3 linked regions of the Daphnia pulex genome follow. The protein of the gene in region 3 interacts with the protein of the main gene of each other region in a pairwise test. Links are inferred from orthologs where the notes say so. Each region holds a gene or a part of one and is shown on either strand. Other genes may lie near its edges.

Region 1 (8,740 bases), on a different chromosome or scaffold from region 3:
TTTCTGACAAGCATGAAGTCATACCATGAGTCCCTGATCCATACAATGATAGTAGTAAATAAGGTCATATTGAATTAGAACTAAAATGTTTTTACATTCAGGTCACTTGATCAATGATGTCCCGGAGATGCCTTTGGTTGTGTCGGACAAGGTTCAAGAATACAAAAAAACCAAACAGGCCGTCGTGTTGTTGCGCCGTCTTCGCGCATGGACTGATGTCCAGAAGGTTTGTTTCTAGATATTTATGTATAATTATCACGGGAAAATGATGAGTTGCTTCTTGGTCTGTGTTTATGAGTAAATGATTTCACCTTAGAGCTCTGAACAAAATCTGAGTCATGAATGATTTTATGTGTGAACACCGTCTAATTAATCTGATTTCTTACAGGTTTACAAGACCAGGCGTTTCCGCGCAGGTAAGGGTAAGATGCGCAACCGTCGCCGTACCAGCAAATTGGGTCCACTGGTCATCTATGGCAGAGATCAGGGTTTGACCAAGGCTTTCCGTAACATCCCCGGAGTTTCTATGATTTCAGTAAACAAACTGAACCTCATGAAGCTTGCTCCTGGTGGTCATGTTGGCCGTTTCTGCATCTGGACCGAGTCTGCTTTCCAACGCTTGAACGCCCTCTACGGTACTTGGCGTCAGAAGTCTAAGCTGAAGAGCAACTACAACTTGCCTCAGCCCATCATGACCGGAACAGATTTGTCTCGTTTGTTGAAGTCTGATGAAATCCAGAAGGTTATCAGACGACCAAGGCAAGCTTTCTTTTTAATCTTTATTATTGATTAATTAATGATGAAAACCACATTTAGAGCATTGGGTTATGAATCTTTGTGATTAGCAAATTAATCTGAACGCAGTTTATCATTCAAGTGATACTGTCTGGTGCAAAGATGACTAATCGATACAATTTAAATTACAGGAAGATGATCCGTCGTGCATCTGTTAAGCGCAATCCTCTTACCAACATGAGAGCATTGATGAAGTTGAACCCGTACTCCGCCGTGATTAAGAAGTCTGCCGCTGCTGTTGCTGAGGCCCGGAAGAAGAGCAAGACTGCTTTGCTCGAGAAGAAGCGCGAGGTAATTTTGTTTTCTGTGAATGTTTGTATGTCTTAGATAGTTTTTCGTTTGATTTCTGTTTGAATTGTTAAAATTGTATTACCGCATGTGAACGTAACTTAATGCATGCCACATTGTTTAACATGTACAGGCGAGTGCTACCAAGAAGGTAGCTGCCTAGCCTGCGAGTGAGCGCACACAGCATGGTTTATTGAGCTAATCAACAGATGTTTTTGGTGAGTTGTCCATCGTAGTGAGAATCTGATTTGGAAAATAGTCCAAGTTCTAATTTGTATATCCATTCTACAGTCAGTAGTACCCGTACCAAATTTACCTGTTGAAAAGCCGAAAGAAGAAGCGCCCGTTCAAGCACCGGTCCAAGATGTCAAACCAACTCAACCTCCTCCTGTTGAAACCCCTAAGCCAACACCACCAGAAACAAAGAAAAGCAAGAAATCCAAGACGGCTGCAAAGGATTTGCAAGTAGAACCGATGGATGTAACACCCGCGTCCGTTGTTGAGGTGAAGACTGCCCTAGCTCCAGCTAAGGAACCATCTCCGCCAATCGTTACCATCCCTGAACCTGTAGTTAAGGTGGTAACACCAGTCGCTACTCCTGTAAAAGGAAAATCGCCACCAGTCGTTCCTGCCCCAACACCGATTGCTGTCCCGGAAGTGAAGCCGTTGGAAAAGGTTCTTGCTGCTCCCGTTGAAGCTATCCCATTAGAAGAAGCTTCTGTTCCCGAATCAGCTGCTGATAAGGGATCGAAAGCCAAGAAAGCAAAGGGGAAGAAAAATAAGAAGGAATGAGTGACATCATTGAACCTGTGCCTGTATGACGTTTTTTCTGTGACATCTGAATAAACCTTCTGCAGGCTGAAATGTGTTTAATTTATCTTAATAATTAGCTATTAAATGTAAATGTCATGGAAATGCTAATTCTCGCCGTTTGTGGCGCTGTCTTCAATGTTTTGTCAGATGGTGTTTTATACGTCAAGTCTACAATACATTCCTTGTCTTCGTCCTGATAGCAAGGTATCGTATGTAGTGCTCAAATAGGTTCAGAATTGTGCTACAAGAAACAGAAATGAGCTCAGAGAAATTTGAAACTCTGGATGAAGATGTACAAGTTTTGTTCGAAATTCTGCAAAGAAAGTGTTCCGGTAAGCTAGAACAATGTTTTGGCGAAGAAAAAAAGCAAGTTATTGCCGATGTCGAAAGAGGACTAGATGAAGCTAAACAAGCAATATTTGAAATGGAAGCTGAAGCTAGAGCAGCTCCTGGCTCTTTTAGGATGGACATGATTGGCAGGTAAAAATGTGAATGTCTTAAGTTTACACAGCAAACAATACATGTAGTAAAATTTCAACTAATGTTTTTTTTATCATCCAACTTCAGAGTACGAAGACATCAGGACACCTGTTCCAAACTTGCTCTATTGATCAATTCTTCCAAGCAATCAGAAATGTCTCTGGCCTCATCAAGAGGAAAACTGTTGGAAAACCAATCCACTGCTGCATTTAGCCAAAACCGGGGCATTGATAATGCTCTTCAAACAACTGTTCGCCAAGGAACTGCAGTTCTGGAAAGAACATCACAGAGCCTCTACAGAACTACTCAGGTTGCTTTAGAAAGTGAAGAGATTGGCACTGGAGTTATTCAAGAATTAAGTCAACAAAGAGAAGTGCTTGTTCGTACAAGAGATAGATTGACTGAAACGGATGCAGAGCTGGGAAGAAGTAGAAGAATCCTTAAGTCAATGTCTCGTGTTGCTATGACTAATAAGCTTGTCCTAATTGTCATCATTCTGTTGGAGATATGCATTTTGACAGGTTTAGTTTATTATAAATTTTTTTCTTGAAATTATTGTCCTCAAATTCTTAACATACCTCATCAAAAATGTAACTAATAGTGTTAGTGCCTTGAATTTGTGTAAAAGCCGATACAAAAATATAATCATGCGCATAGCGACCAGTATTTTTTTCCCCTTGCGTGCGCAAAGGATTTCCTAGCGGCCTTCGTACGCAGACGGAGTTACGAACCCAACCTCTGGCTTTCAGTTCCATTTGACAGAAGCTCTTCCTGTGTCATGGCGTGCTATACGTGTATTTAAAGTTTTTGCGTTTGCCAACGAAATCTGAGATTTTTCTAAGTTGTTCGTGCTTCGACATCGACAGTTAAAATGGGGTAAGTTGTGCATTTATTGATTCTGTATAGTCTTAAATGAAAAATCGATTCGTACCATATATCCACGTAGCAACAGCTGGATGCTGAGCACCACTGTCAAGTCTGAATTCAAATTTACTGTAATTAAAAGGGTATATGTTTCAAATATTTGTATTTTGGACTATGGAATTAGACAAATAAGAATTTTCCATTAGGGTGTATAAATACCATTAAGCTAAAGTGTAAATCAATATTGAAGTCACAGACTCACTGAAGTGTCCCGTCATTCAAATGTTAAAAAAGATTTTATTAATATCTTGGCTGTAAATATAGCATTCATATTTTCAAACTAATAAGCTAAGCTGCATCCAAGTTTTCAACCTGTACTAAATTCTAAAGTTGTATTGAGCTAAACTTCGAAGCTGAATGACTTGTGCCTCTAGCTACAGCCCAGAAGGATTGTTGCGAAATGTTATTCTCAACTCAAGCAATAGATTGTTGCTTTAGGTGATACATCAAAGTAATATTTCATCCAGCCAGAAAACTCTTGATATTGCTAGGATGCTAGGCCCACTGTTAGTGGGATTTTAGTCACACAATATTGATTTACTTTGAAACATGCAAGCCCCATTCAGACAATTCCAAAAGCACAAACATTCAACAATGATAATGGGAAATAGAAATTTGTGGACTTTGTGTATTCAGTTGTAAGAAATCGATGCTGCGTGTCCTGTGTCTAATTCCTAGATGGCTACTTCGAACCCTTTCCCTTATTTTTCATGGTATTTATTAGTTAATGCTATTCTCGTCATGTTAACTTTCATCCGTACCTACAGTATTCTCCTTTTTTTTCGTTTGCTCACTACAACGTAAGATATCGCGTGTCGAGTTTCATTTCATTTCACTGCTTCTTTTGGAGGCTTCTATCGCCGGCGTCTCCTAGGTTGGACGCTAGATATAAACCCGTCTGAGAAGCCCCACCTTTACTTTAAAATAAAGTAAAAATTAATTTAAAAAAAGGCAGGGGAAAAAAAAATAACTAAAATCATCCTTCGGATAACAATCGGTTGAAAACAGGCTCATCTCATCAAAAATGAATGGCATCAAAGTATATTTATTCAATCTTCCATAAGAGTTGGTTTGCGAGGGGATGGGGGTATTTGTTTATTTCCGTTTTTGTGTATGTGTGTGTGTTTGCAATGGGGAAAAAAAATCGCTTGTATACTTGCCCGTGTTTACGTGTGCGTGCCAGAGTCGCAATGACGGGATTGCTAGATCTAGCCGGAAACTTTTAATGTTTCATTTCCTTTTTTCTTTCTGTAACTTGGCATCCTCCTCGGTTGTGGCACACTCCATCACCATTTAGCACGCGTGACTGTGCATGCCGTATCGACAAATCTGTCGATTCGGCAATTTCGTTTCGACACTCTTTTCGTGACTGAATAACCCGTACACTTATCATTGAACTCTAATCGCCCGAATTTGTGTGAGGATTTCGACCCGGAGACTATCCCATTGGAACTTTATTTTTTCAATCTGTTCCGCAGTCGGGAACTAGTTGAATTCGTAAAAACTGTGGCTTAAGTTCAATATTCTTTCAGCTTGCTCAAATATTTAAGGCGTAGGAAGCGGTTGCCGAGGTTTAGGGGGGGGGGGGGATTGCATCTTGGTTGTGCGCCTGTGTCAGGGCCAAGAAAGCAGTTCCCGGATATGATGCCATGTCGTGTCTGTCTCTTTTGGAGAGGGCGAGCTATTTGCAAGGCGCCAGTGAAAAGATGGAATCACGTCGACAACCCTTGTCTAATCTTAAGGATGAATCTCGATGATACCTCAATCAGACGTGTCTCTTTAAGCCTTTAGGTCCTCGCCATTCGATCTATAGTTCCCGAAATCTTATTGTTAATCCTAAGATTTTATGAGGTTGCCATGGATGGCTAATGAGTGCCTGCCATGATTGGGCTGCGTTCACCAAGGCGACGTTCTCTCCGTGTTTCTTCTCTCGCTGACTCTCTCGGGATTTTCGAGCGGCTAATGACTTTATTACTCAGTGCTCTATTTATCCTCACAAGTCACCTAGTAATATTTACAGATATCCTACATGAACTAGAGCTATAGAAGCTCAACATTACCAAACAGAAGAAAAAGTTGTTTTAGTTCAACGAATTTTCCTTGGTTATTTGCACGATCTCCTGTTCTTTTTTTCTTTTTTACTCTATTGTGTTCTGTGAACTGTAAACCCATTACATGAATGGATAGGTAATGGTGTCTTGATCGTTCAACTGGAATTCGGCTTCTTTGATCCTATCTACTCGATTGCGATCAGGCTCAATCCTGTTAGACTTCATCTCGTATCGATGGATCTCGCACCCAATGGTCTATCGAACAATCGCCGTCGTATGGATTCGATAACACACCGAGGAACTCCTCCTGGAAGTCAGACCAACAGCTGCTGCATACTTCCCCTGACAAGAGTGTATTGAACACGGTCGAAACTAAGCCCCAAAAGATAGGAAAGTAGAAAGCCAGATTGATGTCCACAGTTGGTCTCGATGACGTTTGAATCTGCGAGTTACACAGAGAGAAAATAGTGAGGGACTGGCGGGAAACAAGAAATCGTATTAGGTCCCAATCCGATTTATATTGTATACGTTGAGCCTGTCGTCCTAGCCCCTTGAAGGAATGACGACACTTTTTTTATTATTATTATTATAACGGATAACGTTGAATTTTTCTTTCTTCGCTTCTATTTCGTCTAGCGTCATTTTACATTGTGGACAGACAGCCGGGGAGTCGAATGGCGTCGTTCTTGTATTTGTTCGTTGCCATGTCGTGCGACTACCTCTTTTATATTCCGGCAATGTCAGCTACGAGATTTTTATTTTGTCGCCTTCAGAATTCATTGCCCCCCGCTGTTATTATGTACGCCATATTGCCTCTGCAGGATGTGTCATTTTCAGTGAATATTTATCGCGCTCATATAAGTATGTTATATAGACTAGTATCCAGTTTGCGTCTACCGTCCCAGCCTATATTGAAGTGTATCTCTCCCACTCTAATCCCTGTGTGTGTGAATAGAATTTCTCTGGATAGGTAGAATGGATCAAAACCAGCAACAGCAAGGTTGTTTTGTTGGTTTCTCTAGCTTCCTTTTCGTGTCGAGAGGTATTGATTCGTTGCTTCTCTCTCTCTCTCTCTATCTCTATCTCACTTTTGGTCGGTTGGAACTGTTTGCCCAGAGAACAGAGCTCAGGGAGAACGGTGGGTAAGCAGGAGGAGGGGTTGGCTGATTATGGCCCCCCACTCCCAACCGCACGTCATAATCAAGGCGCCAAAAGTGATTGAGTTGTGTGGCCCTTCATCACACACACACGATGCGTACGAATCGTTTTGCTTTAATCACAAGTTTGTCTGGGTGTATAGTAGTCGTGGTGGTCACAGTTTACTTTTTTCCTTATCCCATCGCGCCACGCCTCTACTCGTCGAATGCATTCCACCTCACCCCTAATGAGTTTGAAACTGTTACATTTGGTAGTGGCTGGCTTGTAAGTGCGTCGGATCCATCCCGTTTCCGCCCGTTTCACGAATTCAAATTATCAGCGTTCGTGTTATCTTACTGGGATGGCTCATTATCTCTCCCTCCGTGGGTTCCGCATTAATTGACTTTTTTCTCCCCCCGCATATTGCCCGAAATGCCATGATAGAAATTGTGTACGTGACATTTCCGAAGAAATCTCGTGACGCTCTGCATTTTTAACGCTTGGAATGTTGGGGTTTTTGTGAGCTGTTCGCCGTTTAGTCTGCCGGCTTACTTGAAGAAAAGTTGCTTCAAACAATATTTTACGTGATTTTACGAAGCCCTGGCCTTTATCCGCCCGACCTGATCGTCGTTGCAAGAGCGGGCAACTGAGCTGGACAAGAATGTTGGTTCTGAATCCTTATACGCGTATACTTTTTGCTCCTCGTTCATTTATTTATGTGGGCCTGCGCCATCGCTGGAATGCATTCCGTTGCGAAGAGTGCGCCATATTGATTCTAGCGTAAACAATAATGAGTTCTTTGACGCCCTGAAGTTTCCATGCGGCTCGTTAATTTTATCCAGTTGGACTTGGCTCAAAGACTAGGCCGCCAGCCAGCCCAATTGTAATCCAATAGAGAAATGACATATCGATCCGCTCGGCGCACCCTCTCTCTCTCGCGCGCGCTACGTTTTCTTCCCAACTGTTTCTATTCAGTGACGCTGGAAGGTCCTTTCGTGATATCAAGTTATTTGCGGCCTGCTCCAGTGTACGCAGTCTGTATGGCCCCCGATCCTTCTCCGTTCTAACCAACAGCAGCCCAACGACCCCGTCCATCTTGGGACTTTGTCGTGCTGAAATGGGGCGAACGTGCCCGCATGTGCGCACGGTGGTTAGATAGCTTGAGCAGAAAAAGAAGAAGAAGAGGAGAAAGAAAGAGTGAACATCTGCCCGCATTTTTTGTCCCTTTCTGTACTCCCTTTCTCTGGCACTATATTCCTTTTGTGTACGCTCAAAAATCGATATAATCCTATTTGCTTTTACCCTCTCGAATTGATCATTTTCGCCTTAGACTTTAAGAGACTTGCCACAGAATAAAGAAAGCGTACCCTAGAGAATCGAGCCGAATGTCTTGTTTATAGTAGTTTGCAAATCCAATTTCTTTAGCTTAATCGTTTCTTTTGCTGTCCGTTAGGGAACAGCCAATTTTCACGTGCAAGGCTCACGTGTTCCACATCGACCCGAAGACGAAACGTTCGTGGATCCCGGCCTCGTCGTCCGCCATCAACGTCTCCTTTTTCTACGACTCGACACGATCCCTGTACCGAATCATCAGCGTCGAAGGCACTAAAGTAAGCAACACTCTTCTCCATTCAAGATTCAAAGTTTCTTTTTCTCCACTTTTTCAAATGCCATGCTCACCTGTCTTTAACGTGAACCGGCTGGTAATAAATACTCAAAAGGGCAATGCTTCTTCTGCTGCCCTACGGAGAAAAAAGCCAAGCACAAGTTGTTGAACGTCAACAAGTTGGCGCCGTCGTCCTACCGGCGTTCAGGCTTAGAGTGCCTTTCCTTGTTCCCGATTCTTTTCGACACGACTTAGTATGTCGATCCCTTTTTTGTTTGTTTTTTTATTCTTTCTCCCTCTTCATCTTTCAGGGTTTTGTGTCTATTGATTTTGCGTCATCTCTGGTGCCCTAGAAAAGTTGGGCCGTTTTTTTCTTTCTTTCTTCCCCATTTTCAGCTGCGGGTTAGATGGATGGATGCATCACGGTTTGAAGAACACGGTTTGAGCTGTTAATGGGAACTGAAAGGGTTTACGGATCGATTGTCAGCCGACTCTTAAATGGCTCAGCTCTTGATCTTGGCTTGGATTGGGCGCTGGATGAGCCATCGTTATCGGACGCATTACTACACTACCCTTAACTACGCTAGTCACTCGTCCAAAAATTGTAGATTTCCCTCTCTCGTTGCAACATCAATTAACGAGAAAC
Region 2 (7,180 bases), on a different chromosome or scaffold from region 3:
GCACTGATGGATAGTTCAGGAGTTAGGAATATGGTAGCTATTGCGCAATATTAAACGTATGTAATACATGCCGGACTTGATGATGTCACGAACGTATAAGCGTCTGAATACTTTATAAGTTCCTTGCTTCCTTTGCCAACTGCTCTTCCCTAGAAACCACCATCGCAACGAAATATCAACGTTCTCGTGACCAATACAAGCGATCAATGATCATTCTAAATCAAACTGACTGATAATAACTTCCAAGCAAGAGAAATCGAATGCAACCGCCAATCCGCTAATTCTAGGATGCATTAATATTTCAAGTTTCTAAGAATCGTCAGAAATGGTTAAGTTGTCTTTAATCCTTACTAAAAGGATCAGGAGCACACGGATTTTGTGATGATTCAAACAGAAATAGTGTATTTTCATACGTGATTCGTCTTTCACTGCCACCTAGGGGTAGAAAACGAAATAAAGAAGATTTTCATACGTGATTCGTCTTTCACTGCCACCTAGGGGTAGAAAACGAAATAAAGAAGAATAAAGAAAAAAGACCGAAAACAGACGAACGCAGTTCAGTGTGTTTAAGGGAACACTCGATTCTTTTTATTTTTTTATTATTATTTATAACTCTCATGTTTCCTTCTAGATTCGTAGAATGCAACTGAATCGGGAACTTTAAACTAGTGCTTCCTATAAATGATTCGCAATATATAAAGTCCCTTTCTATGAAAAGCTTATCTTAGATTGATAAGAGCAGAGTACGGGGGTCTTCGATTGTCTGCTTGATTTTGCGCAAGAAAGTCACAGCTTCCCTGCCGTCGATAAGCCGATGGTCGTAAGTCAAAGCTACGAACATCATGGGACGAATAACCACCTAAAGAAATCAATTTAAATATAATAACAACTCGTGATTGATATCTGTTTTGATGAGTCGTTAGTTATTAATTTTAGTCTATCGTACCTGGCCATTGCGTGCGACGGGACGATCAAAAATTCCATGCATGCCCAAAATAGCAGATTGCGGAGGGTTGATGATTGGGGTACCGAATAATGAGCCGAAGACTCCACCGTTGGAGATGGTAAAAGTACCTCCATCCATATCTTCTACAGCCAATGCGTTGTTCTTTGCCTTCTCACCCATTGCGGCAATAGCCTTTTCAATGTCAGCATAGTTCATAGAATCTAGATTACGTAGAACAGGCACCACCAAACCCTTCAAATTTAAAACAAAAAAATTTATTAATAATTTAACTCTTAATGCTAAACTGTAGCAGAATTACTTTTGGTGTGGCAACCGCCACAGATATGTCGATGTAATCGCGATAGACGATTTCATTTCCGTCGATGACGGCATTGACAGTAGGTTGATCAGCAAGGGCGCAAGCCGCGGCCTTGACGAAAGCTGACATGAAACCCAACTTGATTTTGTGAACTTTCAAGAAGGCGTCACCGTGTGTTTTTCTCAGCTCCATGATGTTGCTGTGAATTTAAACGAAATACGTTAATCCACCTATGGCATCAAGAGACAATGGCATACTACCTCATATCAATTTCGTTAAAAGTTGTCAACATAGCGTTGACATTTTGGGCTTCCTTCAGCCGCTGAGCAATACGCAGTCGCATGCGGTTCATTTTAACGCGTTGTTCGGTTCTTGTGCCAGTAATTTCCTTGCTATAATCTGCAGGTGGAAGACGGGCTAGGGGAACAGCCTAGAGATAAGAAAAAATTAAGAAAAAGGTTAAAATGATGGGGGAATGACATTTAATTCGTACTTGGGACGTCTGCGTAACGTTAACAGGAGCAGCAACCCGAGGTTGGATGCTTGCTGCTGGGATGGCAGAAATAGGGGTTGTTGGAGGGGATGGGCGAGGAGGAGGTGTTGATGGGATCGCACCAGAAACAGGTTGGGCGGCAGGGGTAGGCGGTGGAGGAGCAGGAGCAGCTGGTGAAGGTGTTGGAGGAGCAGCAGCAGCAGCAGCAGCGGGAGCAGCAGCTTTGGCAGCACCTCCTAGATTAAGAAACGGTTTAAATTTATTTTAAAAATGTAGAAATTTTCTGGTAGCATAATAGTTACCTGCACTCATAATAAAGAGTTTAGCTCCGGGTTGAACAGTAGCACCATCACTAACGCACAACTCAGTAATGACCCCACTGCAAGGGGCTTTAACCGGGATCGATGTTTTGTCCGTTTCAATATGGCATACTTCTTCATCTTCTTGGACTGTATCACCAACAGCTAAAGAAAACAAAAACATTCTATGAAAAACACCATAAGATCCACAGGTGCAAGTCTATCAAGTTGAAAAAAAAGGACGCAAAATGATTTGAAATCTTTGACTTGAAAATACTGAAATTAAGCTTCAAGATTGACATTTTCACTCAAAGATCATTTCTGTGCTACTAATACAGTTGTACCAATACTCTCTGGAAGAAGCATACCTTTATCCCATCTTACATCACCCTCACTGATGGAGTCTGCAAATGGTGGTACCATCACAGTTTTCGCATCTCCTAAAAAAAGTATTTTTTTATTATTATGACTATTTATTGCCATTTGGAACTAGTGAATTTCACCTAGTACTGCAGAAGTTCTGAATCCTCGACTGAAAACTGTGATTGGATTCCATTGGCACCTCACATCATTTCGCTGTTGGATGGACAGGTAGCTAGGCTCTTGAATACCAATTTCACATGTTTCCTGAGATAAAAAACAAATAAGAAGAAATATCATTAAATTAATTGTAAGATGAAAGTAACCAACAGGATGTGGCAAAATCATCCAAGGTACAAGGAACTTCATTGACACATTTTTATTTTATTATTTACTCTTATATAAACATGTATAACCTGATGTTTGAAACAAGCCGAAACTCTGAAATTGCCACGAAATACTTTTGCAATTTGCTTCGAAGAGCCTAGGGAGAGACGTAGAGCAGCCATGATTTTTCTGTTCGACTTCGGCTGATCTTGATGTTAGTTGCGAATGAAATTTGACTTTGCTGGTTAACTTTAAAAACAATATAAAAACTCTCCTTCAAAATTTTAAATTAAAATTTTAGAATTAAAAACGTTATTTTATCTTCGTGTATGAATAAACCGGGAATTAAGAATTTTATGACGAGTTTTTCAAAATAAAAGTAAAATGCAACTGTGGTTGTGCTTTTTTTCGTCTGAATTCGTTTCGTTTTCGTATTGTTACGTGATATTTCTGCTAAACAATAACAATGTTTTATGCGGCATTAGTAAACCGGTTAACCAGATTCCCATCACATATTTCGGCATTCTCATCTTTAAACAATGCTGTTCAAATGGATACCGTACAAGGATCTATAAAGATGACGGATAAGTGCGTCCAACGATTGAAGGAACTGCATAAAAAATCCCCAGAGAAAACGCTTCGGATATCGGTAGAAGGAGGAGGATGTTCGGGATTTCAGTACTTGTTTAATTTGGACACCACGGCAAATGAAGATGACTGGTTTGTACTTAAAAACTAAACTAAATCAACATAATTTTTGACAGTTTTCATTAAAACAGTGTGGTTGAAAGAGATGGTGCGAGAGTCTTTATTGACAAAGATTCCATGCAATACCTTGAAGGAGCAACAATTGATTTCCAGTCTGAGTTGATCCGCTCTGCCTTCCACATATTGAAGAACCCCAAAGCTGAAAGTGGTTGTTCATGTGGTGCTTCATTTTCTCTCAAAGTTTGATTTAAAAATCTATTCAAAGCAGTGTTTTTGTCAAATTGCTGTGTAATTAGTTGTACATAATATGGGGTGAATGTAACAACAACCAATTGCAAAATAGAGACCCAATGCAATCACCCCTTTTCACTTAGTCATGAGACCCAATTTCTTTGCTTCTAATTCATAGATCAATAAGCGCCACATCTTGACAACAAAGACCTCTGCTTCTTCATCAAGTACCTAATAAAAATAAAATTGTTAAAATAGGAATTACATTTTAGAATTTATAGAAATTAAGACCTTACCATCTGAACATCATTGATGATATTTTGTGGTTGGCTTCCTATCAATACTTTGGAACAAATGAATTCAACTAGAGTAGGCTCGGGCTCTCCGATGTACTCCACGATCTTTTTATTGACCCACGGTTTAATCCGCCGCTCCATTATCACCTATGGAGAAAATAAAACAAGAATTTAAGTGGTTATTCGACAACGCGTACTTGTTCATTGTTTACATTGTCCACTAAGCTCCACTCAACAGGATGAGCAAAGAGGGATGCTTTATCCGTTGGAATTTTCTCGATAAGACTCTTGATATTTTTTCTCTTCTCCTCTGTGTTCTTGGGCTCTTTTTCCTTTTTAGCAAGTTCATCGCCATAGTCTATTGGAAAAGAAATTAATTAAAACAGAAATGTTACGGAAAAGAAAATATCTGATTATGTTACCAAGAGGTACAAGTTTCCGTTTCTTCTTGGTCGTGTCTGTATCGTCTTCATCAGCATTGAAAACGGCTTTGATTTCCAGCTTTTTCCGCTTATTGAATACTAAACTGGGTCCCTGTGATCCTGTAATACAGAAAGAGAAACAATTAGTTATACATATGTTGGTTGGGCAATCGATGGCCAATTATCGTACCTTGTTTGCTGTCACTTTCAGTTGGAAGAGGACTTAAGGAATTCGTTGTTGACATGGAATCCTCTTCCATGGCAATGACACTGCTCGCAACACTAGAGCTAATTGTTTTAGGTTCTGGTCCGGTTGGAGTGGATGGAGCTGATGAGACGGGCGTGGTGGAATTGACATCTTTCGTCAACTGGAAATCTTCCACGTCCGATGGTTGTGATGGTAGAGACACGTCCATGGGAGAGAAAGAGCGGGGAGCATCACTAACAGGAGGTGCTGGCACGAGTATCTGAGGCTTGTACTGTTGTTCCCTTTCGTAAAGAGCCTAGGAAAATTCAGAAGAGGTTTTACATCATACATTCGTGAAACTTTGAGCTTTCCCTCTCTTACCTGTTTAAGAGTTGCTGTTGGATCTGAGTGGCCCTCAGAGAAAATTTTCGTCTTGAGTTCCTCGAGCTCTTCCTTCTCCTTTTGACGGTCACGTGTGTCTGATTCCGTTTCTCTCTCACGCTCTGTTCGCCGGCGCTCCATTTCACGGCCTCTGCGCAATTCCAAGAAAGAAACATTAGGCTGATTCAATAAAGAAAATGAGATGGAGGACAAAATTTACTTATAGTATTTTGCATCATCTCTTTCGTCGTCATAGTCTTCAAGGAACTGTTTGAGCCAAACGGCTTGTTTCTGTTGTTCTTCAATCCTTTCCTTTTCCTTGAGCTCGAGTTTGTCGTAATCACGGAGCTTCTTCCGTTCTCGGCTCTCCCAGTGACGCAACCGTTCCTGTTGAATCCACCCAAAAGGAAATGATAAAAAAACAAAAACCAGCCACAAGAGAAATCAATTCCAACTTGGCATTATCACTGGAAATCCTTAAATCAAGAACGGAGGGACCTCACAACTATTGCCTCTTCTTATACTTTACGGTCACGGCACACGAGATCACAAGATAGAAAACAGGAAGGCAAAAAGAGCGCAATGGATTGATTAAACCGAGTTTTTTTTGTCCAGTCTGGGTACTTGCGTGAGTAAAGAAACGCACGACAGCATAGCATCCCAAACGGTGAACAAGAAAAGGTTACGATGGTCATTCCAGACTAATCCACTCCAATGGAAACTATCAAAGTTATGATCAACGTATTCCCAGCCCTCTTTTTGTTGTTGTTATGCTGTTCTGGGCAATACACACGCGTCACGGCAGGTCGGGATCGATAGTGCAGACCAATCCGCTAAGGACCACTTGGACGACCGCCAAATGCAAGGTGAAATCTTTTACCTGATAAGCAACTTCTTTTTCTCGTGCCTTCTTCTCTGCTTTCTTCCTCTCCAGAGCTTCTTCTTCTTCTTCCTTCTCCCTTAAATAATCTTTTTCTGTTCGACGTGGCGGGCGAGCCTCCACTTCGGTTCGGTCTCGAGATCTACTTCTTCGGGGCGGTGTGCTTGGCTGAGCCGGTGGTCCAGGTGGGGTGCGTGATCTTTGCGGTGGAGTTCGTGACCGCCGATGATTTTCGTTCTCCTTATCACGTCTCCTGTCTCGGTCGCGATTCCTGTCTCGATCCGAAATTCTGTCTCGGTCGCGATCATTTCTATCATTACCACCGCGGTCCCTACCACTTGGTCTATCACGTTCTCTGTCCCTTTCCCTGTCTCGCCGCTCGCGATCACGCTCTTTTTCTTTCCTTTTCTTACGCTCAGCTTCCTTTTCTTCATCTTGCTTTTTGGCGATTTCGCGAAATTTTCCTATTTCACGGGTAATCAAGTCCTTTTTTCCTTCTTCAATTTCAGTTTCGAATTTCTGTGAAACAAAGCAATTAGTCGAATCAGCAGCACGTAGTAAAACAAAAACAAAAAAGGCTAAATAAAGATGTTTACGTTCAAATCCAAACTATTGGCTTCTTCCTTTTTGGCCGCTCTAGCTTTTTCCTTATCTTGTTCTCTTCTTTCTTTTTCTTCGGCTGCAATGGAGTTGGAAAGAATCAATGAATTATAATATAAAGTCGATTAAACTGCGTCAACGGACGGACTGCGGTACCTCTGGCTTGATTAGCTTGCATTTCCGATTCGTAGTCCTTGAGAGTCTGACCGATTCGTTCCTTAACCCATTTGTCTTGAACTCGTTGTTCCTGTGTAAGGAATTCGTCATCGCCATTGGTCGATCCTCCACCAGCAGCTTTGATTTTGTCAGCTATGGAAAAGAACACGAAGAGTCAACTACCGGTTAAATTTCGATAATTGTTTTTATTTACCTTTGTAAGTGTCAAGAATTAATTTCGTTTTGGCATCGACTTTCACCACCAACTTCTTTTCACCAATTTCCAGTTCGTGCAGCAAGCGAATCGCTCTTAGAGCTGGGTCTGGATTGCTGAATTCACAGAAACCGAAGGCTGCAATAGAATAACGAATTTCAGTTTAGAGATCCAGTACTTCTTGAAACTATTTGTAAGACTTTCTGTACCTTGAAGAACACCAGATGCTCCTTGTACTCTTTTCCAGCTAACAACAGAACCACAGTGTTGAAGAATCTGCCTCATCATGTTGTCAGGGGCACGATCTGTGATGTTTCCCACAAATACGGTGACTGATGGACCAGCACCTTCATTGGCAGGC
Region 3 (8,127 bases):
AGAAAGAAGAAACGTTTTAAAGTAACATGAAATGTCCGCTGTAACTCGGTGACACTCAATTGAAAAGAACTGACAAACAAAGGTAACAAATAACTTTGATACTCACGTAATATTCTCCATGAAAAATTTCATCGAAAAGCCACACGCAGCATCACACATCAAAAAAGACGAAATCCCCAAGGTGATATTGAACGCCACTTCAACTTCTACACTGAGGAGAAGGCAATCAAGACAGATATCCGTTCATGTTGTCTGCAAGTGATTCCAGACGTTTCAGCACCTGGGCAACAGTGCTGGAGAATAGATTGCTGAAAGTGATAACACCCAGTGTTGGTAAGGTAGACCTGCCAGTTATTCAGAATGTGTTCCTATTCATTGTAGCATTCTATTAGGCTACATACTACAAGGCAACAGCAAATGTAAAGTCAATCATAAACGATGGTGGAGGTGAAAAATCCTTTCCACACAACCCAATCTGACAGAGACTGGGCATATAATTAAATGAATATCACATGTACCATTAGAAAATTTAGGTGCATAACAGCCTAAGTTAGCTTTAAACTTGAGTTTATAGGTTACAACCAACTCAAGCATCTTGTTAGAACAGCAGTTTTAGAAATGAAATAATCAAATAAGCAGGCAGATTATACACACATAGTGATCATGTTGTATTATGCAATTGGAAAAGGAAACAGAATCAAACACAGATCATAAGTCTATCTATTGTTACTAATTTCTCCCATAATGACACTAATTTCCCAGTAACATTTTCGTCCATACTGCTGTATCGGAACTTTACAATAAACTTCGCTCCAAATCCAAAGACCTTCAAAACTGCGACAAACTGAATGACAAAAAAAAAGTTTTAGAATGATTTATAAAACATAAAGTAAATGTCTAAGCGTAGACATTCAGATTTTATACAGCCAATATTAATGGTTTCATTAAGGTCAAACGGTAACTCGTTTTCATCAGACTGGTAACAATTTAAAGTGATATGAACTCAAATTACCTTGTGCAAGTTTCATAGCTCCATACCATCCCACAGACGTTAAGCAACGGATCGAAAATTAACACACCTAAAATATGGAATAACGTTAGGAGAAAACTAATCTCTTTACACCAACATGTCTATCTACTATCAGGGACTCGAGTGGGTCTTCATAGTTATCAGAAACACAGGAAACATTTGTCATCACAAAATTTACAATGAAGGTTTGACATCAATCTCTCTATTACCTCAGGACTCCTTAAGCCGACACTATTAGATCCAGCGTCTCACCGCATATATCCCTATTAAAGAAAATCAAATGATAATATTGAAATTTATCCGGTTGCCCAACCCCTTGCTTTAAGAAAACAAAGCAAGAAAGGCCTCAGGGACTCGCTTTAATGTTGCAAACTGAACAAAAAGAAATCTGGTGTTCAGCAATTTCTTTACAAAATATCATTTGCCCAAGATCGCAATAATCGAACCATTCTTACCTCGACAACAGGGATTTATCAAGAAAACGTATATAAACAAAATCTCCAACAATCCAATAGACCGTAGTCAGACCTAGATATACCAAATTATTAAATTAGATAAGAAAAATTTAACCAACAAACAACACAACATACCCAATAACATGCTCGCCAAGTACTCCAAGACAACCGACCGAGCAACCTAAAAAGACGACAAAATAAAATCATCGTTAAGGTGCAGAAAGCAGTAGCTCAAATGCAGATTAAGATAAATAATCTATCAGGGACTCGAGTGAGTCTTCATATAATTGTCAGAAACACAGGAAACAATTGTTCATCATGATATTTACGTTTAATTCGTTAACATATTGAGCTATTACCTAATATCCTATGAAGATGGCGCCAAAAAAAAAAAACACCGAACAATAAACCAGTCCATCTGAACACACAAAAAACACAAGTTATTTTCATGAATTTGTCCGGTTGCCCAACCCCTTGCTTAAAAAAAAAACAAAGCAAGAAAGGCCTCAGGGACTCGCTTTAATGTTGCAAACAGGACAATAAGAAACCTGGCGTACAATTGTCTCCTTAAACAAACCTGTTTGCCGAGTCTCGCATTAAAAAAAATTTACCTTGTGTAAAATGAACTCCTCGGATTCCAATGACGTTGACCAAGAAGCAATACCACATTACCTACAGAAAAAAATAAATCTATAACATCAGTTTGTATCGCTGATATCGTCAACTCAGTTAAAGATCAAAAGGAAGGCAGAATGAATCATCATGGAACTCGGAAAATGCTTTTAAGCGTTCTCATCATTTCAATTTACGTTAAACATTACAAGTAATTCTCTCTACTCACTACGTAGATCATGAAATCACCAGCATCTCGAAACGAAAGAAAATGAAACTCCAGTTTTTGGCCCAGTAGCTCAACAATCGACGGCGGTTGTTAAACAAGACAATCTGAATAAACGAACCAAACAAATCGTCAATATTTGTTTACAGCCGATTAAATGATATTAAAAAGCCTGAATTATCAGGGACTCGAGTGGGTCTTCATGGTTGTCAGAAACACAGGAAACTGTTGTTCATCACAAAAATCCAAAAGAAACCATTAAAACTGTCCATTTACCTAAGAATCGCAAACACCTTCATGATTGTATCTCATCTAGTGTAATGCACACCCACTGCCTGCAAAAAAATAAAAATAAACACCATTAAAATGTTAAATCTTCCTGTAAAGTCAAAACAAATTGTCTCAAACCGAGGTGATCAACCTCTGCAATAAATACAGATCGAGCATAAGTGGTTAGACGTTTAATTTATGAGATCCTCTAGCACCGGAATACTACATGTGCGTTAAACCGGTGACTCTGAGGCTCAAATGCAAATGTAAAAATAACTATACCTCCTCCATTGGCTCCATAGCCGTAACAGTCGACATCCATCCTCCACGAAATGTCTTGGCATGGAATCTTCTCTGTAAAAACGATATAACGTTAAGGCGAGGACTAGACCAAAATGACGACAAGTCACTCGATACTTTCAGCACATTTAGTAATCAGGGTACATATTTAGGTGTCCTAAGAGTGTCATCAGCAAAATCCAACAGCATATTTTACATATATGATAAGAAAACCAACCTTTATTCCTCGATTACATTCAAATCAGCGAATTCTGGAAGATAGGTTACAACCAACCGGTGCAAAACCAAGTGAGGTCAGAAATCAATCTAGACATAATTGATCATGAAAATCTACAAACCATTTCAGTGTGATACTGCTTTGGTCTACACTTCAGAATATTGCGATAGAGATTTAATCAAAATATTAATTTAGGTACACTAAATTTCATTGTAATCCTAGGGTCATCAGGACTATTTACCCATATACAATAGGAATTCGTTTTTACCTTCCAAACTAGTCGTCTTCAAGGCACCAATGTAGCCTAAATGCATGATTTGTCTCACAGCCCTTCAAAAATTGTTTCCGATCCTTGCACTCATCTGCCATCATCCCTCCTGGCATTGAAGATATCAACCTAAAATGAACAGATTAAGAGATATAATCAAACCTGTTCCTACATGAGGCAAATTAACAACTTAAATTGACAAGTTAGTTACTAGACAAGAGGAAATTTCATTCGCCTCATGACCGTTACTGCAACATTGATTTCAGACTGAACATGGAATTTCACTTAAAACTACTTATTATCAAACTTGTCCATTTTAACCAAAGAAACCCCAGACCAACCTGAGGCTTCTTTCTCTATAATATACTTCTTAGAGAAAGTCGGTTTTATTAGACTTCAACCTTACCAAAGCAATACACATATAGATATTAAAAATGTTCAGGCTAATTACTGTGTTAAGAGCGTTAACCATATCCTACAACTACGTTTTCAAAACTTAAATGAGAAACTAAAAAATTAGAAAACCCAGAATAACCACGTGTTGATCAACTTACATGTTCAGCATTTGAAGGATTGGTTTGAAATGAAAAGAAGTGACGTTGGCACTTCCATATGTAAACTTCGTTCCCTAACCGTCAGACTGCGTTTTACGGTTTAATTTTTCTACCGCCCGATGGCTCTGCAACACCTTGTTGTTGCATTTATTTAGGTACGTCAATTCTGTTCCCCCTTTATTAAAAAAGAAAGAAACGCGAACTCTTACTGAGAAGCAGGTGTGTTTACTTAATTAGGTCAAAGTTTTCTTGGCCGTTTTGTTAACCAAGAAAAATGGGAATTGAAATAAATCGATTTCAAGGAGAAGTTGATGAAGAATTGTTGTGTCCAATTTGTAGTTCAGTGCTCGAAAATCCGTTACAGGTAATAATGACAGTTCGCTTCCAAAAGCGAGAGTAGCAATAAAATTTCCCCAGAGGGAATGTGATGGATTTAATAGACTTGTAATTTCAGGCACCCAACTGTGAGCATGCATTTTGCTCTGCTTGCATTCACGAGTGGCTCTCGAGACAGCCAACTTGTCCTGTCGACAGACAAAACATAACCCCTCCTCAGCTGAGACCTGTTCCCAGAATACTTCGGAACCTACTATACAGGTTGGTGGTTTGGAAGTTTGAAACCTTATTATCAGTATGAAATTGTACCATTTCTCTATTATTTTTCTAGACTACAGCTCACTTGTGATAACTCTGTTTATGGGTGCACTGCAATATTGAAACTAGATGCCCTGGAGTCTCATGTACAAGAATGTGAGTTCAATCCAAAGAGACCGGTGCCATGTGAGCTCGGCTGTGGGCTAGTTGTGCCAAAAGACGAGTTGAAAGTAAGTGGGTTGTTTTACAGGTTACAACTTTAAATAGTACCTTATTTATGTTGATTGCATTTCCAGGAACACAACTGCGTGCGAGAGCTGCGCTCGTTGATGCAGGCCCAGCAATCGAAACTAGTTGAGGTGCAGGCGGAAGTAGCCGAGGGCAAATTTCAGATGAGCGAACAGAAACGAGAACTGCAGCTGCTGAAGGACTACATGCTAGCCATGCGGAACGCCAATCCTTCGCTGCGGATTCTGGCAGATCAGATGGAAGCCGACGAAGTGAGACGCTGGGCCGAAACTCTACCCAAGGCGAGAGTCCTGCGCTGGGGTGGCATGATCTCGACTCCGGACACGGTGCTACAGGTAATATCCTACAGTTGGCGAGCTCAATACATTCAATCAAATACGATAACCTTTTAAAGTTGCAGGCAATGATCAAGAGAGCCCTTTCCGAATCGGGTTGCCCACCGCACATCATCCAGGATCTGATGGAAAACGCCCACGAACGGCGGTGGCCGACGGGATTGTCGTCGTTGGAAATCCGCCAGCTGAACCGGCGTCAATACGAGAACTATGTCTGCCGGAGGATTCCGGGCAAACAAGCCGTGGCCGTCATGGCCTGCGACAACGGACATATGAATCCAGATATGATATTGGAACCGGGTCTCATCATGATTTTTGCTCACGGTGTAGAGTGACACCCCGGAATTCTTGTCAGATTATTAATCCAACAACATGTTTGTCTTCAGTGTCCTCGCGACCGGCTGGACCACTCCAGCGAGCTGACACTAATGAATTTGTCCCTTTTGTCCTTTAGTTCAGAAGCAGCAGTCCTCTCAACTTACTTAAAAGAATCTGATTTATCTTTTTTCGAATTGTTTATCGTCATCAGTTACTTTCATTGAATCGTGCTCAGTTTGGGGGCTAGGTGTAGGTTTTTATTTGAAATGTTTCTCAATTGGTGTCCCCGCTCTTCGGCGGTTGTAAATGTTCGATACTTGATTAATGATGGCAAAAATCTTGTTTTCTTTCATCATCAACTTTTATGTGCAAATAATGATAGTATATTCCGCCGATGCTGCGGAATAATAAATAATAAAACAATAACTGAGAAGTCAATCGTATGGTATAGACAGTGTGTGTTTGTGTGTATTTTTTTTTTATCTTTTCGTCGATTATTTTTCTGTTATTATCTTTTTCAAACCGGGTTTACTTCTTCTCTCTTTTCAGTTATAATCACATCATCGTCACACATGTTATGTAACATTTTTGTTTTTTTCAAAGTGTGGAAATGGGTTGAGGGTTGGGGGTGGATTTTTTGGAGATGTAATCGCACTACATCACATAGCCATGCTCATCCGAGTATTTAATCACATCACTCAAAAACACTTCCTCTTTTTTAATGAAGTTGATTTTCTTTCTTTTTCGAAACTTTGTTTTCGTCTCCATTCGAATGGCGGAGGGGAAGGATCGGCGGGTAGTGAAACAACATGATACGGGAAGCTAAAGAGATGATTTCAAAACAAGTTATTCACAATTAAGGACAAAATCGATGAGCCAGAGAGAGATAGAGAGAGAGAGAGAGACGTAATAATAAAGTGGTTGGATCGAAATCAAACGTCAAAGAAAAACTACATTGTGTTTGTTGTGTCTGTGCGAACATGTATATACAATTCTTGTACTGAGCTTCTGGAATCTGAAACACACACACACGCATGGAAAATAAAAGACAAATGATTGGCTTTTGTTTCGACGTAATAGAATCGATAATATAATATATAAAATCTTCTGTATATCTATTTAGAGAGAGAGAGAGAGAAAATAAAAGATGGGGGGTGAATCAAACGGCAATTAAAGTTTGTAAGGGGGGTGAGCGAGTTTCAGAATGAAGGGAAAAAATGGGGGGTAACCGACGATCCCGAATCTGCTGACAATCGGATCTGATCTGTGAGGTCCGTTCGGTTTTGAACAAAAAAAAAAGAAAATCAAATAATCAAAAAAAGCCCACACTGCGCAACTGCAGCACACATTTGTTTGTTCTTCTCCTTGTCGCTTTAACCTCAATAATTCTTCGTCTCAAATTGGGCGGGGTCGGGAGAGGAAAGAAGCGCAGCAAGACGTCGTCGTCGCTCCATAATGACGGCCAGTGAGCTCAATCTCGCTCGCGCGAGCACGAACACGAGAGAGAGAGGGAGAGAAAGATAATGTGGGTAATCACGACACGACTTGTCCACAGACCCGCGCAACCAGCACACACGCTGGGAGGACAACAAAAACCAAAAGAAACGGGTTGAGGAGCAGGAGAAATGGTTGTTGTTGTTGTCGTCGGCTCTGTGGTGACAATTTTTGAACACAGTCTCAGGTAATTTATACATAGCATGATACAATCAGTCGATGGGACTCTTTTTTTTTTGTCTTTTTTTTCAATACATCCAACTCGCTAATTAGAGGTGGAAAATCAAAATACGTGTGGTGTGTGTGTACTCACTGCGTGAGTCTGTGCGGAGTGGAAACGAGGGAAGAAGGTCAAATAATCGAAATGGCGACATAATAAGACACGACCAGCGGATGGTGAGAGCAACAACAGTGGAGGTTATAAATGGAAAGACGAAGTCACACACACACACACAGAGAGAGATACTCAGGTCATCGAGTCAACGAATTGGAATGGAGCAAATTGGGAGAGTTGGTTGCTGTTGTCGATGGAGAAAACGGAAGCTCCACCGCAAGAAATTGCGGATGAATGCGCTTTCCTATTCAATCCTCCATTCGGAAGAGAATTAGGAAAACCAAATATGAAATCTTTTTCACGGAACAACAACATCATCGCCATCTTTCTTGCCTTTGTTTAGACACACAACCGCAATGTGAATTGGGAATTTAGCCATACGCAATCCATTCCGGATTCCCCCCACCCTCTCTATTGGTGGGAGGGGCCAAAAAGAAACGAGTAGAACAAACGAGATGTGTAGCAAAGACACACACATAAATAATAATTAAAAAAAAACACCCAATCAATGACAGATTATTAAAAACGGGGGGGGGATGTCATTCCGGAATTTTTCTTTTTTATCCGGAATCTTTGCACCGTGGATCGGAGACATGGCCCAAGTCCAAGTCTTCGCTGCGGGTGTGCGTCCTGAGGTGCCTGGTAATCATGTCGCGTCGGCAGGCGGCGTAGGAGCACTGCGGGCAGCGGTAGGGCTTCTCGCCCGTGTGCGTCCGCTGGTGGGTGCTGAGGTGATCGGAGCGTGAAAACACCTGGCCGCAGATGCGGCAAGTGTACGGCTTGAGACCCGTGTGCAGCCGCATGTGGCGAGTCAACATGTCGCTGCGGGCAAACGGCCGCTGACACACTTCGCACTGGTAGCCCTTGACGA

The links. The genes of interacting proteins can lie anywhere in the genome.
Region 1: the proteins of E3 ubiquitin-protein ligase NRDP1-like (region 3) and homer protein homolog 2-like interact in binary tests that used the Homo sapiens proteins (3 or more experiments, as listed by UniProt). The link is inferred for Daphnia pulex from reciprocal best matches to the Homo sapiens genes RNF41 and HOMER2.
Region 2: the proteins of E3 ubiquitin-protein ligase NRDP1-like (region 3) and iron-sulfur cluster assembly 2 homolog, mitochondrial-like interact in binary tests that used the Homo sapiens proteins (3 or more experiments, as listed by UniProt). The link is inferred for Daphnia pulex from reciprocal best matches to the Homo sapiens genes RNF41 and ISCA2.

What each region holds. Positions count from the first base shown.
Region 1 is NC_060018.1:4,117,257-4,125,996, forward strand, and holds the start of homer protein homolog 2-like, read left to right. Parts: upstream 1-3,071; 5' UTR 3,072-3,247; coding exon 3,248-3,252; intron 3,253-7,941; coding exon 7,942-8,098; intron 8,099-8,740. Other genes in the region: uncharacterized protein LOC124189006, read left to right, coding at 102-226, 389-759, 927-1,086, 1,375-1,875; vesicle transport through interaction with t-SNAREs homolog 1B-like, read left to right, coding at 2,153-2,376, 2,464-2,926. UniProt on the Homo sapiens protein: Postsynaptic density scaffolding protein. Binds and cross-links cytoplasmic regions of GRM1, GRM5, ITPR1, DNM3, RYR1, RYR2, SHANK1 and SHANK3.
Region 2 is NC_060017.1:2,840,212-2,847,391, reverse strand, and holds iron-sulfur cluster assembly 2 homolog, mitochondrial-like, read left to right. Parts: upstream 1-3,155; 5' UTR 3,156-3,210; coding exon 3,211-3,464; intron 3,465-3,523; coding exon 3,524-3,698; 3' UTR 3,699-3,811; downstream 3,812-7,180. Other genes in the region: dihydrolipoyllysine-residue succinyltransferase component of 2-oxoglutarate dehydrogenase complex, mitochondrial-like, read right to left, coding at 725-859, 947-1,198, 1,266-1,464, 1,526-1,695, 1,759-1,994, 2,061-2,222, 2,426-2,497, 2,561-2,684 and 1 more; RNA-binding protein 25-like, read right to left, coding at 3,819-3,914, 3,980-4,126, 4,192-4,337, 4,402-4,521, 4,592-4,904, 4,970-5,120, 5,190-5,356, 5,850-6,368 and 4 more. UniProt on the Homo sapiens protein: Involved in the maturation of mitochondrial 4Fe-4S proteins functioning late in the iron-sulfur cluster assembly pathway. May be involved in the binding of an intermediate of Fe/S cluster assembly.
Region 3 is NC_060021.1:11,012,719-11,020,845, forward strand, and holds E3 ubiquitin-protein ligase NRDP1-like, read left to right. Parts: upstream 1-4,154; 5' UTR 4,155-4,206; coding exon 4,207-4,296; intron 4,297-4,386; coding exon 4,387-4,529; intron 4,530-4,599; coding exon 4,600-4,756; intron 4,757-4,822; coding exon 4,823-5,110; intron 5,111-5,169; coding exon 5,170-5,445; 3' UTR 5,446-5,876; downstream 5,877-8,127. Other genes in the region: uncharacterized protein LOC124194673, read right to left, coding at 7,817-8,127. UniProt on the Homo sapiens protein: Acts as E3 ubiquitin-protein ligase and regulates the degradation of target proteins. Polyubiquitinates MYD88. Negatively regulates MYD88-dependent production of pro-inflammatory cytokines.